3 linked regions of the Sus scrofa genome follow. The protein of the gene in region 2 interacts with the protein of the main gene of each other region in a pairwise test. Links are inferred from orthologs where the notes say so. Each region holds a gene or a part of one and is shown on either strand. Other genes may lie near its edges.

What was found. The genes of interacting proteins can lie anywhere in the genome.
Region 1: the proteins of AES (region 2) and HNRNPF interact in binary tests that used the Homo sapiens proteins (3 or more experiments, as listed by UniProt). The two-hybrid records come from large-scale screens. The link is inferred for Sus scrofa from reciprocal best matches to the Homo sapiens genes TLE5 and HNRNPF.
Region 3: the proteins of AES (region 2) and KIFC3 interact in binary tests that used the Homo sapiens proteins (3 or more experiments, as listed by UniProt). The two-hybrid records come from large-scale screens. The link is inferred for Sus scrofa from reciprocal best matches to the Homo sapiens genes TLE5 and KIFC3.

What each region holds. Positions count from the first base shown.
Region 1 is NC_010456.5:61,664,888-61,669,411, forward strand, and holds the start of HNRNPF (heterogeneous nuclear ribonucleoprotein F), read right to left. Parts: upstream 3,059-4,524; 5' UTR 2,970-3,058; intron 2,642-2,969; exon of another isoform or gene 2,574-2,641; intron 2,016-2,573; exon of another isoform or gene 1,925-2,015; intron 1-1,924.
Region 2 is NC_010444.4:75,495,133-75,499,047, reverse strand, and holds part of AES (amino-terminal enhancer of split), read right to left. Parts: intron 3,017-3,915; coding exon 2,953-3,016; intron 1,610-2,952; coding exon 1,565-1,609; intron 868-1,564; coding exon 805-867; intron 1-804. UniProt on the Homo sapiens protein: Transcriptional corepressor. Acts as a dominant repressor towards other family members. Inhibits NF-kappa-B-regulated gene expression. May be required for the initiation and maintenance of the differentiated state.
Region 3 is NC_010448.4:19,693,047-19,697,728, forward strand, and holds the start of KIFC3 (kinesin-like protein KIFC3), read right to left. Parts: upstream 3,059-4,682; 5' UTR 2,946-3,058; intron 1,152-2,945; exon of another isoform or gene 1-1,151. UniProt on the Homo sapiens protein: Minus-end microtubule-dependent motor protein. Involved in apically targeted transport. Required for zonula adherens maintenance.

The DNA of each region.
Region 1 (4,524 bases), on a different chromosome or scaffold from region 2:
AATTGGAGCTGTAGCCGCTGGCCTACTCCAGAGCCACAGCAACGAGGGATCCGAGACAGGCCTGCAACCTACACCGCAGCTCACTGCAACGCCGATCCTTAACCTACTGAGCAAGGCCAGGGACCGAACCCGCAATCTCATGGTTCCTAGTCGGATTTGTTAACCACTACGCCAGGACGGGAACTCCGGTAATGTGTTATATTTTAAAAGTCCTTAGATATACAAATACTTATGGAGAAAAAAATCCATGAACCTGGTTCTCCCTCTGCCCAATCGTTTGTCTTCCACAAGAACCCTTGTTCAGAGCAACTAACTGGAGGCAGGGGTCCTGGCAGAGGGATGTCCCACGTCAGACAGACTTAAGAACAGTCCCAGATGTGTTCTAGGACACATCTGTATGATGGGGATAGCAGTAATATCTCCTTATGGACTGATCGCGGGCATGTGATTAGAAAAGTGTAAAACACCTAGCTCTGTGTCTGGACTACTGAGGGCCAATCAGTGTGATTCCACAAAGAGTCTGAGAGCCAAAACTCAGACTGGAGAGGGGAGGTTGATGGGAAAGTCACCTCTGTCGATGGGGGGCCCCCCTCCCACTTCTGTAGCCCCACCAGGCACTACTCCAAAGGGCACGCACCACGTGTGTCTCCACTCTTCCCCAGTTTTTTTTTTTTTTGTCTTTTTGTTTTTTGTCTTTTTGTCTTTTGTTGTCTTCCCCAGTTTTGACCTTATCAAAGGACTAACTCTCCTCCTGTTTAATCAATCCCTCCCCTTAAACCATTCTCATTTTTACTTGAGTTACTTTATAAGGGAGGTACGTTAACAATACTCAAGTGAAAATCAGTCGCTTAGCAGTTAAAAATTAAAAAGTAGACTATAACACGGAAAGAATAAATCTAATCAATTTACAGAAACGCATACTATTAAGAGGAGCTCCCCGAGGCAAAGGCCGAACTTGCTTAACTAGTAAATTTACTTATTTTAAAATGAAGGAGCTTATCTTCATTAGAACTGAAAACATCACTTTTCACTGATAGATCCTAATATTTTTGTCTGACCGGAGAACCCGAGGTTTGTTCATTCTTACTAGAAACGCACAAATAGTTAACTTTTAAAAACGTGACTTAAAAGTAATAGTAAGAATATCAAGACCGGTAGTTTCGCTGACGCATTCGTTTAAGGATTATTTGCAGCCTTCAACTAACTCTCCCGGCTCTACAAGGGTCCGATTACCGAGGCCCGCCCCTAACTTTGGGAGCCTGGGCCCCCCTCCCCCCACCGCCGCCAGCCGCGGCCGGTTCCGCGGAAGCCGCCGCGGCCACCCGGCCCCTCCCCCACCCCCACAGCAGCTCTCGGGCCCCGGTCCCGCTGAACAACCCGCCCGCCGAGGCAGGCAACTCCTTCCCCCCACGCCAGGTTCTCTGGCTCGAAAATAGCTGTGAAGCACGTTGGTTTGTCGTAGGGCCTCCAAGGGAAGGAAACTGCCGCGAAGGGCGTCTCGCGGGGCTCGCAGGTAGCCGGAGAAGGGAGGCAGGCTCTCCCGGGCCTGAGGTTCGTCCGGCGGGAACCTGTGGGGGTCCCCTGATAAGGAAAAGACTAACCGGGAGGAGCTTGAGGCCTCCTAACCGTAAAACACCGGGGCCCAGGGTCGGTCGGGCCCCGCGTCTCGCGCGGCGTCACCCAGACCGCTCGGCGCCACCTTACGTGGGCCACGCGGGGGCTGGGAGGCAGAGGGAGCCGCGCGAGCGCCGGCAGCGTCCAGCAGTTTCTGGGGCGCAGTCACGAATTAGCAAAAATACACTCAAAGATAAAAGGATAAGTGAAGAATAAAAAAACGGCCGACCAAGTTTCCCCAGCGGAAGTGTGGGCACCAGGCAAAGACAACAAGAACCGAACAGTTTCAACCAAAATATCCACATGCTACCTTTGAGAGCAGGAGACAAATGCAGACCGGCTCAGGGCACACACGCGGCGCGGAGAGGAAGAAAAGGCCGCAAAGACGGAAAGTGGAGGCTCTGCGAGCGGGAACGTGGGAGGGGGGAGGAGTCAGTTCCCAACCAGTCCCGTGCAACTCCCTGACGCGCGCAGCCACGTGAAAGTACTGCTTTCATTTTTAAATGAACCCCCTCTCACGGTCGCCCCATGTTTTCACCGTACCCCAGGCAGGGGCGCTCGGGCTCTGCCTCCCCACCCCAAGAGTCCGCACCAGGCTCTTCCTCCCTTCCGATCCTGCGTCCTCTGACACCAAACCTCAGCCCCGCGATCCAGTCCCCGAATGTAAACCAGTGGCCTCAGGCCCACCTCCCCGAAGTTCACATCTCAGTCCCGCAGGCCCCACCCTCAGTGGGCCAGGTCCTCGTTCAGGACCTAGTCGGTCCCTAGGTGTGTGGCTCCTGATCTCAGACCCCAAATTTCAGCCCCACGGTCTTCAACCTCCAGTAGGCCCAGGTGCAGGCCTTTACCACAGATCCCGCCTCCCCTGACCCCCAAATCTCAGCTCCTCGGTCCTCAATGCCAGGGGCCTCGGTTTCTGGTGTGTAGGCCTCGGACACGCCGCCCCTACCACCCCTCACCTTGGGCTCCGAGTCTCCACGCTCCCGCTCGTCTTCACATCCGGCACCTCGGTCGACCCTGTGAGCACCTAGAAGAGGGTGGAACGCGGGGGACTTGGCAGTTGTAGCAGAGGCAGTTGAGGCTTGTTTACCATCACTATGGAAACCTCTGGCAGCGCGCCCTGGGCGGGGCTTACGAGGGGCGGGGTCAGGCGCGCGGAAGGCCTGAGTCCACAACTCCCGCCCGTCGTGCGCACGCGGCGCTTCCGGAAGCCCTTATGCCTTGGTTTGCCTTGACCCTCCCCTCCTCAGACCTGCGCCCAAATACCCGGGAACAACAGCCCCAGGAGCCCCTGCCCCCGCCCCCGCCTCCGGCTGCCGGCGTGACCGCGGGCCGTTTTCTCTGCAGAACCCCACCTTTCGCTCCTGAAAGACGCGGCGCAACCCCACTTCCAAGACGGAGCCGGAAGGACGTAAAGACCGCGGCGGGGCGGAGTCTCCAAGGCGGGTTATGGGGGTGGGGCCACAAGGGCGCCGTTGTGACGCGCCCGGAGCGGAGTCGGGGATTGGTCGGCCAGGCGCAGGACCGGGCCGGGGCCTGCGGTGCGAGGGCGCTGCAAGTGGCAAGGTGGGTTACGTGGGCGAATCCTGCTCGAGGGAGGGGAGGGCAAGGCTTATGGGTTTTTCCGGCGTCTCTAAGGGTATCATCTGGGAGAGTTTCCCCAACAGTGAGCCCAAAGGATCCCTGGATTGAAGACCAGCGTGACAGAAGAAAATGAGAGTCATTTCCTGCCGAGGAGGAAGAAAGAGGGAACCAAATCCTGGAAACCGACAAAGGCTGTTCCGAGAGCAGGGTTTAGGGAGGGATTGGTAGGTTGAGGTTGCTCATGTGATTATCACTTGGGCTGAGAAGGCCTAAGGTTTCTGAAGGTGACCCTCAAGTCCCCAGGGAAAAGCAGACATTTCAGAGCACCTGAGCGACAGGGTGGATGGTAGCTGAAGTGGCTACTCTGCCTGAGGCAGTGGAGCAGATTATTTTTTTATGTGTTCTAGGATTATTAATTATTACCATTTTATTTTTGGAGACTCAATTCATGAAGAGGAAAATATAAAGAAACTCATCACTGATTAAGCAGGTTGCTTTTTAAATAAATTAAGGGAGTGCTTGGAATAGGGTCAGATTATGAATGGACAACCTATAGTGAAGGAAGGAGAACAGTTTGTCAAAAGAAGTTGATTTGGGAGGGATGGGAAAAGTAAAAGCAGGAGGTAAAAATGTATGAGAAGACTCAGGCGAAGCATAATTACGGAAAACAGGTCCTACAAAATTCAAATAGGTATTCTTAAGAAACCCAATGATCCCATGCTAGCTCATGGTATAGAAAAGTCTGTTTATGGAAAGAAAGTGCAAGTAGCTAATCTGAGGCAAATATTTAAATTACCACCCCACCCCCGACCCCACCCCTGCAAAAAAAAAGATGCTTCAGGGTTTAGGGACTGTGAAACCAGATTCATGCAATCCACTAAGAGGGCCTGCGAGGAGTTCCCGCCGTGGCGCAGTGGTTAACGAATCCGACTAGGAACCATGAGGTTGTGGGTTTGGTCCCTGCCCTTGCTCAGTGGGTTAACGATCCGGCATTGCCGTGAGCTGTGGTGTAGGTTGCAGAGGCGGCTCAGATCTGGCTACAGCTCCAATTCGACCCCTAGCCTGGGAACCTCCATATGCCTCGGGAGCGGCCCAAGAAATGGCAAAAAGACAAAAAAAAAAAAAAAAAAAAAGAGGGCCTATGAGCCAAGTAGGCTTTATTTATTTATTTATTTATTTTGTCTTTTTAGGGCCGCACCCAGGCTAGGGGTTGAATCAGAGCTGTAGTTGCCGGCCTACACCCACAGCCACAGCAACACCGGATCCAAGCTGAGGTCTACACCACAGCTCACAGCAATGACGGATCCTCAAGCCACTGAGTGGGGC
Region 2 (3,915 bases):
TCTGTCTGTCTGCACATATGTGCACCTCTACATCTGTGTTGCATCTCTGTCTGTGTGCTGTGTGTTGCATCTATGCCTATCTGTGTGTTTGGATGTCTGCATACATGTCCTGAGAGCCTCCTCATGCACACATGCCCTTCTCCTGGGCCAGGAAGGCCCCACAGATACAGATGAATCTCAGGAGGGTGAAAGGCGGAAGCAAAACAAGGAAACGAGATTCTTGGTGCAGTCTTTGGTGGCATAGCTGACATTTTTTATGTGAAATGACTCACTGGGGCTGGGAATTCCACAGAGGGTGAGGCCCCTCCCTTCAGTACCCTGCACCCCTGGAGTTTCTCCAGCCTGGGGATTCTTCTTCTTCTTTTTTTTTTTTTAAATCTTTTTAGGGCCACATCTGCGACATATGGAAATTCCCAAGCTAGGGGTTGAATTGGAGCTGCACCTGCCAGCCTACATCACAGCCACAGCCACTGCAACTTGGGATCCAAGCCATGTCTGCGACCCACACCACAGCTCACAGCGACGTCAGATCCTTAACCCACTGAGTGAGGACAGGAATCGAACCCGAGTCCTCATGGGTACTAGCTGGGTTCATCATCGCTGAGCCACAGTGACAACTCCCAGCTTGGGGATTCTTCTGCACAGGCTGGCTAGTGGCTGGGAGGTCCAGAGTAGGAAGGCATGTGCCCTGGGGCACCCAGCTCTCTGCCGCCTGCCTGATGGCTGGCTGCAGTGGGGAGGGCCTGAGGAAAGTTCAAGGTCCATCTACCTTCTCCTCCCTGCAGCCCTGGGGGATCCACTCACCTCTTGGGAAAGGTAGGGCAGGACCTGGGCACATATCCCATTCAGCCTCTTGACGATCTCAGCCTGGAACACACAGACGCTTCAGTCCTGGGCGGGCAGCTGGGGCAGGTGCAGACCAGCCCTAGGAGGCCCGGGGGTTCTGTCTAATCTGAGAGAAGGCCAGCTCGGCCCACGGTGGATCAACTCTTCAGGCTCACAGGCACCTTTAAAGGTGGCATCCAAGGCTGGATCTCTGCCCTGTAGCTAAGAGCACAGGTCAGAGGGAATCCAGGGTCTCGGTGGCAGTGGAAAGATGATGCTCAGCTCTTAGTAGGTAGTGAGTGCTCCATGGGAGGGAGGGAGCAAGTGGCAGGGGACGGCTGGCATCGTCATTTCACAACATACCTGATATTGGCCTCGCCAGGGCACAGGTGGCAAGAGCAAGGCCAGAGGGCGAGGGGCAATCTGGGGGCCCCAGGGCATGTTGGCACATGTCACACACCTCCACATCCCCACCCCCATCCACCGCCCCCACATCCCTCCCAAGCCCCTTCACAAGGGGAGACAATGGGATGGGGGTGGCAGGTCCCAGGAAAGTCTCTGCCCCTCCCCCTCCCGGAGATAAACCTCCCAGGAAGGCCAGAGAAAGAACAGAACAGGGGCTTTGGTGGTAACAGGATACCAGGGCAGACTTGGTGCTCAGCCAAGGGCGGGCTCCTACCTGCCTAGGGGTGCCCAAGTGGGGCATGGGGCGGAGGAGAGGGGGAAGGAGGGGGCGTACCTGCTTGTGCATCTCGATGTTCAAGCCGTAGGACATTTCATAGTACTGTGTGGGGGGAGACAGAGAGAGAGAGAAATGGGGGCGGGTGAAGGATAGGGGGGCTCGAGAGACAAAGGATGGGGGGAGCTACGGAAAGACAAAGAGGCAGAGAGGGAAGAAATCAAGAGACAGCCAGAGGGAAAGGCAGGCGAGAGAGATGGAGAAGCAGGTTGGAGGGAATGGAAGGGGAGAGACACCCACACCAGGAACAGGGTCCAGGTGCGTGGTGGGGGCTCTGCTGGGGAAGCCTCGGGAAGCATCAGGGCCCCAGCAGTGGCTTGGGTGCCCATGTTCCTGGAATAACGATGGGGGGGCCTCTCCAACTCATACACATTCCAAGGCTCCTAATCTTTTATCTTTATGTGTCTTGTCTGCGGGTGGCCCTGACTTCAGGGAAGTTTGCCTTCCTGGGTATAAATAATCTGAGCATAAACAAATCCTGCTGGGTCTGCCTCTGAGGCCAGCAGCCCCCCTCCTCACGCCCCATATCTGACCCTGGCCCCTCCCCTGCTCTAAACCATCCCATGGTTCCCCATCACCCAGGGGGAGGGGGAGGGGAGTCAAGTTTGTTCCCGGGCCTTTGTGTGGTCTCCCCTTCTCTACCCAGCAAGCTCTTACTCATTCTTCAAGACCCCAGCTGCAATGCCCCATTGTCCATGCAGCTGCTCAAACTAGAAGCACCTTCCTCTGGAGTCCCCCAGTCCCTCTCTCTGCCCCAGCCCTGTCCCTCTGAGGCCAGATCAGAGGTTCAATGTGTGGCTCTGCCTCCCCTATAGCCTGGGAGAAGTGGGCTCTTGGCTGGACCAAGGCAGGGGTTTTGGATGCAGAAATTGCCGCCTGGTGGGTATGAAGCTGAGCAAGTGATTTTGGAGGTGTGCAAGGGGGCAGGGTATCGAATGTAGCCCCCCCCCCCATGCAAGAGTGTCAGAAGAGTGTCAGCCTCCTCCCTGGAGAGGGGGGCCTCCAGGGGTCCTGGGGCCAGCCAAGCCTGGGTGAGGAGGGGTTAAACCTGGGAGGCCAGGACCATGGGGGCGGGGAGGGATCCGGCTGCTCCCCCACGTCAGTTCCTGGCTTTCACAGCCACTGCCTCCACGGCTGCCAAGGACAGCCGGGGGACCTGGCAGGCCCAGGCTGCAACCCGGTGGTTTGGCACCTCGGCCACTGCCTGGGCCGGCAGCCAGGCCAGCAAGACGGACTGAGCCCGGCCCAAGGGCTGGCTGAATGGAGAGCAGACCCTGACTCCTCGCACATCCCTGAGGAGGTGGCCAGGGTTCGGGCAGCAGCTGCTGGTGCCAGAGGGGGCTCTGGGGTCCACCATCCCTGCCTGCTGGCCCCTGGGGCTGGCTTACCATCACATAATGACGCTGCATCTCTGACTTCTCGCTGGCCAGCTTGTCACATTCGAGTTTCAGACTGAAGAAGAACAAGGGGAGGGGAGGGGGCTGGGCTGAGTTTCCCCCCATTGTGCAGGGGGACAGACACTTCCTCCTCTATGAAGATGGGGCAGGGGGAGCATCAAGTGTCCTAACTAAAACATGGGGATGATGAAACCAACCTTTGAGAGCTGGGGAAAATAATGAAATTAATAAGAAAGCCATGAAAATAATAAGAAAAATAACAAAAGTCAGAGCAAATGCCCTGACTGTAGGTCAGACAGGGATTCAGAGAAACTTTTACTTATCCTGAAACCTGACGAGGTCGAGGCTATTAATGTCACTCTCCTTTTGCAGATGACGCAGTGGAAGCCCAGAGAGGCTGAGTGAACAGGCTCAAGGTCACACAGCCCAGAAGCTGGCTTCAGAAGCTACGGTCTCAACTACTGGGGCAAACTCTCCAGCAAGGGAAGGGAGGAATAAATAGATCCTGCCCAGAGTCTGTGAAGGCCGGAGCTGACTGGCAGGGCTCAGGACTGGATTTACCAAGGAACCACCCAGCCTGTCTTGTGGGCCCTGATTTCCCTGGTGTGTGTGTGTGTGTGTGTGTGTGTGTGTGTGTGTGTGTGTGTGTGTGTGTGTGTGTGTGTGTGTGAGTGTGTGTGTAAATTTCCACCATCAGGTAATAGAGATGGTGACCACTGTCCTCTCTCAGGCTCCTCCAGCAAAGATGAGCTTAGGGCATTTCTCAAAGGCCCCCCGCCATGAGGGTGACAGGTTGAAAGCTGAGAGCTCAAATTCAAGCCAGACAGACTGGTTCATTGATGCTGTGTGACTCTGGGCAAACCCTTCTACCTCTCTGGGCCTCGGTCTCTGAATCTGTTGAGTACCAACCGCCCAGGGTAGGATGGTAAAATGAATTAAGACCAGAAATGCTCT
Region 3 (4,682 bases), on a different chromosome or scaffold from region 2:
CCAGAGGATATGGAGTTCCCAGGACAGCGCTCAGATCCAAGTTGCAGCTGCGACATTGGGAACAGCTACTTTTGTTTTTAAATGGAGCTGGAGGCACCCAAGGACCTCCTAATGGCTCCAGGGTGTAGACCACTTTCCCCATCTCTCACTGCACAGACTGCTCTCTACCAGGCAGTCAAGATCCCCATTTAAATGCTGTCCACCTCCCTGGACCCTCTATGGCTCCCCAGGGTGGGGCTCACAGCACCCAGCCTGGAGCAGCAGCTCCATCCACCTCCAAGGGAATGAATGCTCTGATATGAAGGCACCCAGAAGTTCCAACCGAAGCTTGGAAGAGGGCTGGTGATGGAGACACAGAGCTCAGAGGCTGACAGGGGTCACGGTGCCACAGGGAAGGATGCAATCATCAAAGGTGGTACCAGACGAGAGGCAACCAGGGAGGGTGGAGCTCACTCTGGGCGGGAAGAAAAGATGGAGGAGGAGGTGGTAGAGGCATCAGGCAGGTGCAGAGCCCTCAGAGGTGACCAAAGAGTGAATGGAAAGGAGAGGTCAAACTGGAAGAAAGCCCCTGGGGGCTCTGTAAGGGAGAAGGTCAGTGGAGCAGACCCAAGGGATGGGCGGCAGCTAGCGGAAGCTGCCACTTCCTCCTCTTAGGGAAGCTGGCTGGATGGGAAGGCGAGGATGTGGTATTTAGAATAAGAGATTTCCACATGCTGGGTGGATAGAGGGGCAGGAATGACTAAAGCAGCAGCAAGAGGCCAACGAAGTCAGAGAGCAGGGATAGGTGGCCCGAAGATCTGGTGAGTGAAGTTCACAGAGCTGAGCCCCGGGAAGAATGCCAGGCTCCTGGTTAGGGCGTTGTAGTCTCTGCCTTCCCTGACCGTGGAAGACACCTTGGAAGAAGCTCCTGGGCACCGTCTCCCTGGGAGGTGGGCGGGACTGCTGGCCAAAGGTCAGGGCAGAGGCAGCTCCACTGAGGAAATGGAGAAGGACCAGCGTGGAGGGGAAGGAACTGGGAGGAGCAGCCAGCTGTCCCCTTCTCCAGGCTGCTGGGCATAGAGCTGGACCCACGAGCAGCCCTGAGGACCAGCTGCCCCACGGGCGAGGGGGGAGCAAGACAGGCTGCACCTGCATGCGGAGCCTTGGGGAAGGTGAGCTAGTGAAGGGCCCTGAAGGTCAATTCCACGGTTGAGGGAGAAGACTTTCAAAGAGATCAGCGAAGTCGGAGGGGCAGGGACCCAAGGAGACAGTATTTCGTGGCTTTCAGGAAGGGAAATTGGGAGGCAGTCAGGAAGATATCACCAAGAACGAGGAAGGGTGTGTGCAAGTTCCTGAAGAGGAAAAAGCAGCTGAATTTAGCAGCCTGGGTGGCGGGGGGGGGGGGGGGGGGGGGCGGGGGGTGAAGGTCAAAAGTATCAAAGACTTTACAACAGCCCAAGGCTGGAGACTCAAAAGCCTAGGTCCTGGGCAGGGGGATGGGGGCCAACAAGGAGTGTGGTTATGACCAAAAGCTGGTTTTGAACCAGGCTGTGCGACTTACTAGATGTGCCACCCTGGGAAAATTATTTTGTCTCTGTGCCTCATTATCTCCATCTGCGAAATGGGGAGAATGCTACTTTATAGGATCGGTGTAAAGTTTAGACAATTCCTATGTACAATGTTCAGAAGCATATCGGCGTCTACAGGGAACCTCCCAATTTTATTTTTCAGTGGCCTCTATCCAGTGGTGGGTGAATGCCAGAGGGGCTGGCTGCGGGCGAGGGGCATCTGCCTCTATGGGTTTAGGCCAGGGTTGTAGAGCTGCAGCGTCCTCCCCGCCCCCCACCTGCCCCCCGACCAGGGATAGTGCAATGACTGGGGGACAGACTTGTGACACCTGCCCAAAGACTGCTGCCGGGAAGGCCTAGTCTCCCTGGGAGAGCGGGCAGAAGGTCAGGGAGGTTGGACAGGGGCTAGACCTCCTCTGCGCACAGTCACGCGTCCTAGGTTTTACAGATCAACCCAGATTTCGAAACCTCTGCTCCCTGGTACCCAAGAGGACAGCAGAACTCATTGCCCCACACCCTAAAGTCCAGTCACGGCAAATACAGGACTCCGTTCTGAGACTGCATTCCTTGCCAATGACTCTCTGGCCAAGGAGAAGGCTACTTTTACCAAGGGCAAGGGGGATAGCCTGGGCCTGCAGAGGTGCTCACTCAGTCTCAGGCAGACAGAAAGCCAGGGAAGGTGACAGACCAGGGGTAATCACGACCCCTAACCTTGAGACATATGGGGGGGGGGCGGTACTTGAGAATTTAAATGCAGCTTCCTCTTTAAAATCTGCCAGGACCAGGCCCTTTGCTGCGCCAGAGTTCTGCTCTAACTCACAACAGGGGGTAGAAGGAGGTGGCTTCTGCCTGGCCCTCCCTGCTGGGACCCCTCCTCGCCAGGCAGCTGCTGTCAAAGGCTCAATTTCCCCCTCTGCCCAGGAGACCATTGGCCCAGGCGCTCCTTCCTAACCTCGGGCCCACCCCACCCGGCCCGGGCCCCGGGGGTGGGGGAAGCAAACTGCCCAGGGGCTTACGAGATGGGAGGGCCGGAAACGGCAGCCTTCAGGGGAGCCCTGCGGATGCCAGGGACCTCTGCCAGGGGAGGGGGCGGCGCTGACCGGCACGTAGTTCCCCAGTAGTGTCCGGCTTCCCTGGCCATTGAAATCAGATAGGTGGCCCCGAGGCTGTTCTGATCCCAGGGGACATGCCGCCCGCTTCCCCTGCTCGGCTCAGGCTGGACGGTGCAGGGGGCGGCGAGGGGAGAGGGTAGAAAAGGGGTGGATCGCCGGGGCCCGGCCTCCCCGCGCCCCCCAGCGGGGCGGGGCAGGGGGATCCCAGACGCGGCACCCGAAACGACTGGTCAGGCGGACCCCAAGAGCCCAGCTCGCCCCCTGCCCGCCGGAGCCCCGGACTCACCGGCCTAGCGGAGGCAGGATCCCGGTGTCGCCGCAGTGCCCGGGGCTCGGCCCGGCCCGGCCCGCTGGCGGGAGGCTGCTCCACGCCGCTGCCTCCTCGGCCCGCCCCGCTCCAGCCCCTCCCGCACACTTTCCACAGGAAATGATTAACTCGAGGCCGCGGCGCGTTCCCATGGCAACCGGCTCCGACCCTGGGGGTGGGGGGGCGGCGCGCTCGCTCCTGCACACACTCACACACTCACACGCGGGACCGCCCACTTCGACAGACCCTCCCGCTGGGTCTCCCCAAGCCCCCCGCCCCCCCCCCGCACATGCCTGTGCACACATGCGTGCTCATCCGGGCGCACACGCACCGTCCTACGTGCTCACATATGCACGGCACTCACATATATTTGCACACATGCTCTAGGGAGTCTACATGAAGGCACTCACATTCTCACACACATTCCCACGCTCATTTCAACACGCATGCTTTTGCACTTACACTCAGACGCACCTCCTCACTTTCACACGCACTGCACTAGTTACTGCTCACACACACACTTCTCACAAGTGCTCCCTTGCTGCCCTTCGCATGCTCTCACAAACTCCAGTACACGTTTACTTGACTTCATAGCACACACACTTACATACTCTAGCTAGTACCTATGCACACTTGCACATTCTCACACACTCACGTTACCCCATGCTTTCTCACAAATGCTGTACACACTCCTTAGGATACACACCCACTTGCACACATGCATGTTCTCACATGATGGCCAACTCTTTCTCACACTCCAGCCTACGCGTGCTTTTAAACCCCGGGACACACTTTCACATATGCTCTAGTTAGCACATGCATAGTGTCACACGTTAGCACAGGCATTTTTCACGTACATCATCTTGCTAGCTCTAAAAGGAGTACACAGGCCAGGTTGCCTCCCAGCCAGGGCACCACCTGCTGTCCCCCACCCTCCTTACCCCTTCCACAGCCCCCTTTCCAGAGCAGAGATGTTTGAGATTCTTTAAGGTAAAATATTCCTTTAAGCTCCCGTGAAAACATGTACAGAATGTAGCTGCTCTGGAGCAAGCAGCAGCTCCCACTGCAGCCCCGGAAGCCCCCTCCCCCCCCATAGAATGCCCCAGAAGAAGCCTGGGGGAGGCTAGGGAGCCGACCAGCCAAGGAGAGACAGCTGACCCGGAGGAGCCACTCTGTTCTTTGTCTCCCAAACAGAGGCAGCATTTACTCCAGAGTCAGCAGCAATATTCCCCCTCCAGGGTGCGGAAGGAGGAGAGAGGAAAGAAACTCAGAAGCCAGCCTAGTGCAGGCTGATGGTTCCGAAGATAATCCGAGGGGGATGCGCGTGCTGCCCCTTCCTGCTTAACTGGGGAGGGGCCAGGAGAGGACTGGAGGGGCCCATGCAGCTCCAGATGGGTTCTGTCTCCTACCGCTGGGCAGGCGCTGGGCTAGTGGTCAAGAATCTCAACCAGAGACAGAGCCAAGGTTCTGGGCCTCAGATTGTTCTGGATGCCAGACCAGGCCAGACCAGGACACTCACAATCCCTCTAATAAAAGTGAGCTCCAGGGAATTCCGGTTGTGGCTCAGTGGTAACGAACCTGACTTGCATCCATGAGGATGCGGGCTCCATCCCCGGCCTCCCTCAGTGGGTTAAGGATCCAGCCTTGCGGTGGCTGTGGTGTAGGTCAGCAGCTGCAGCTCCGATTGGACCTCTAGCAGGACCTCCAAATGCCGCA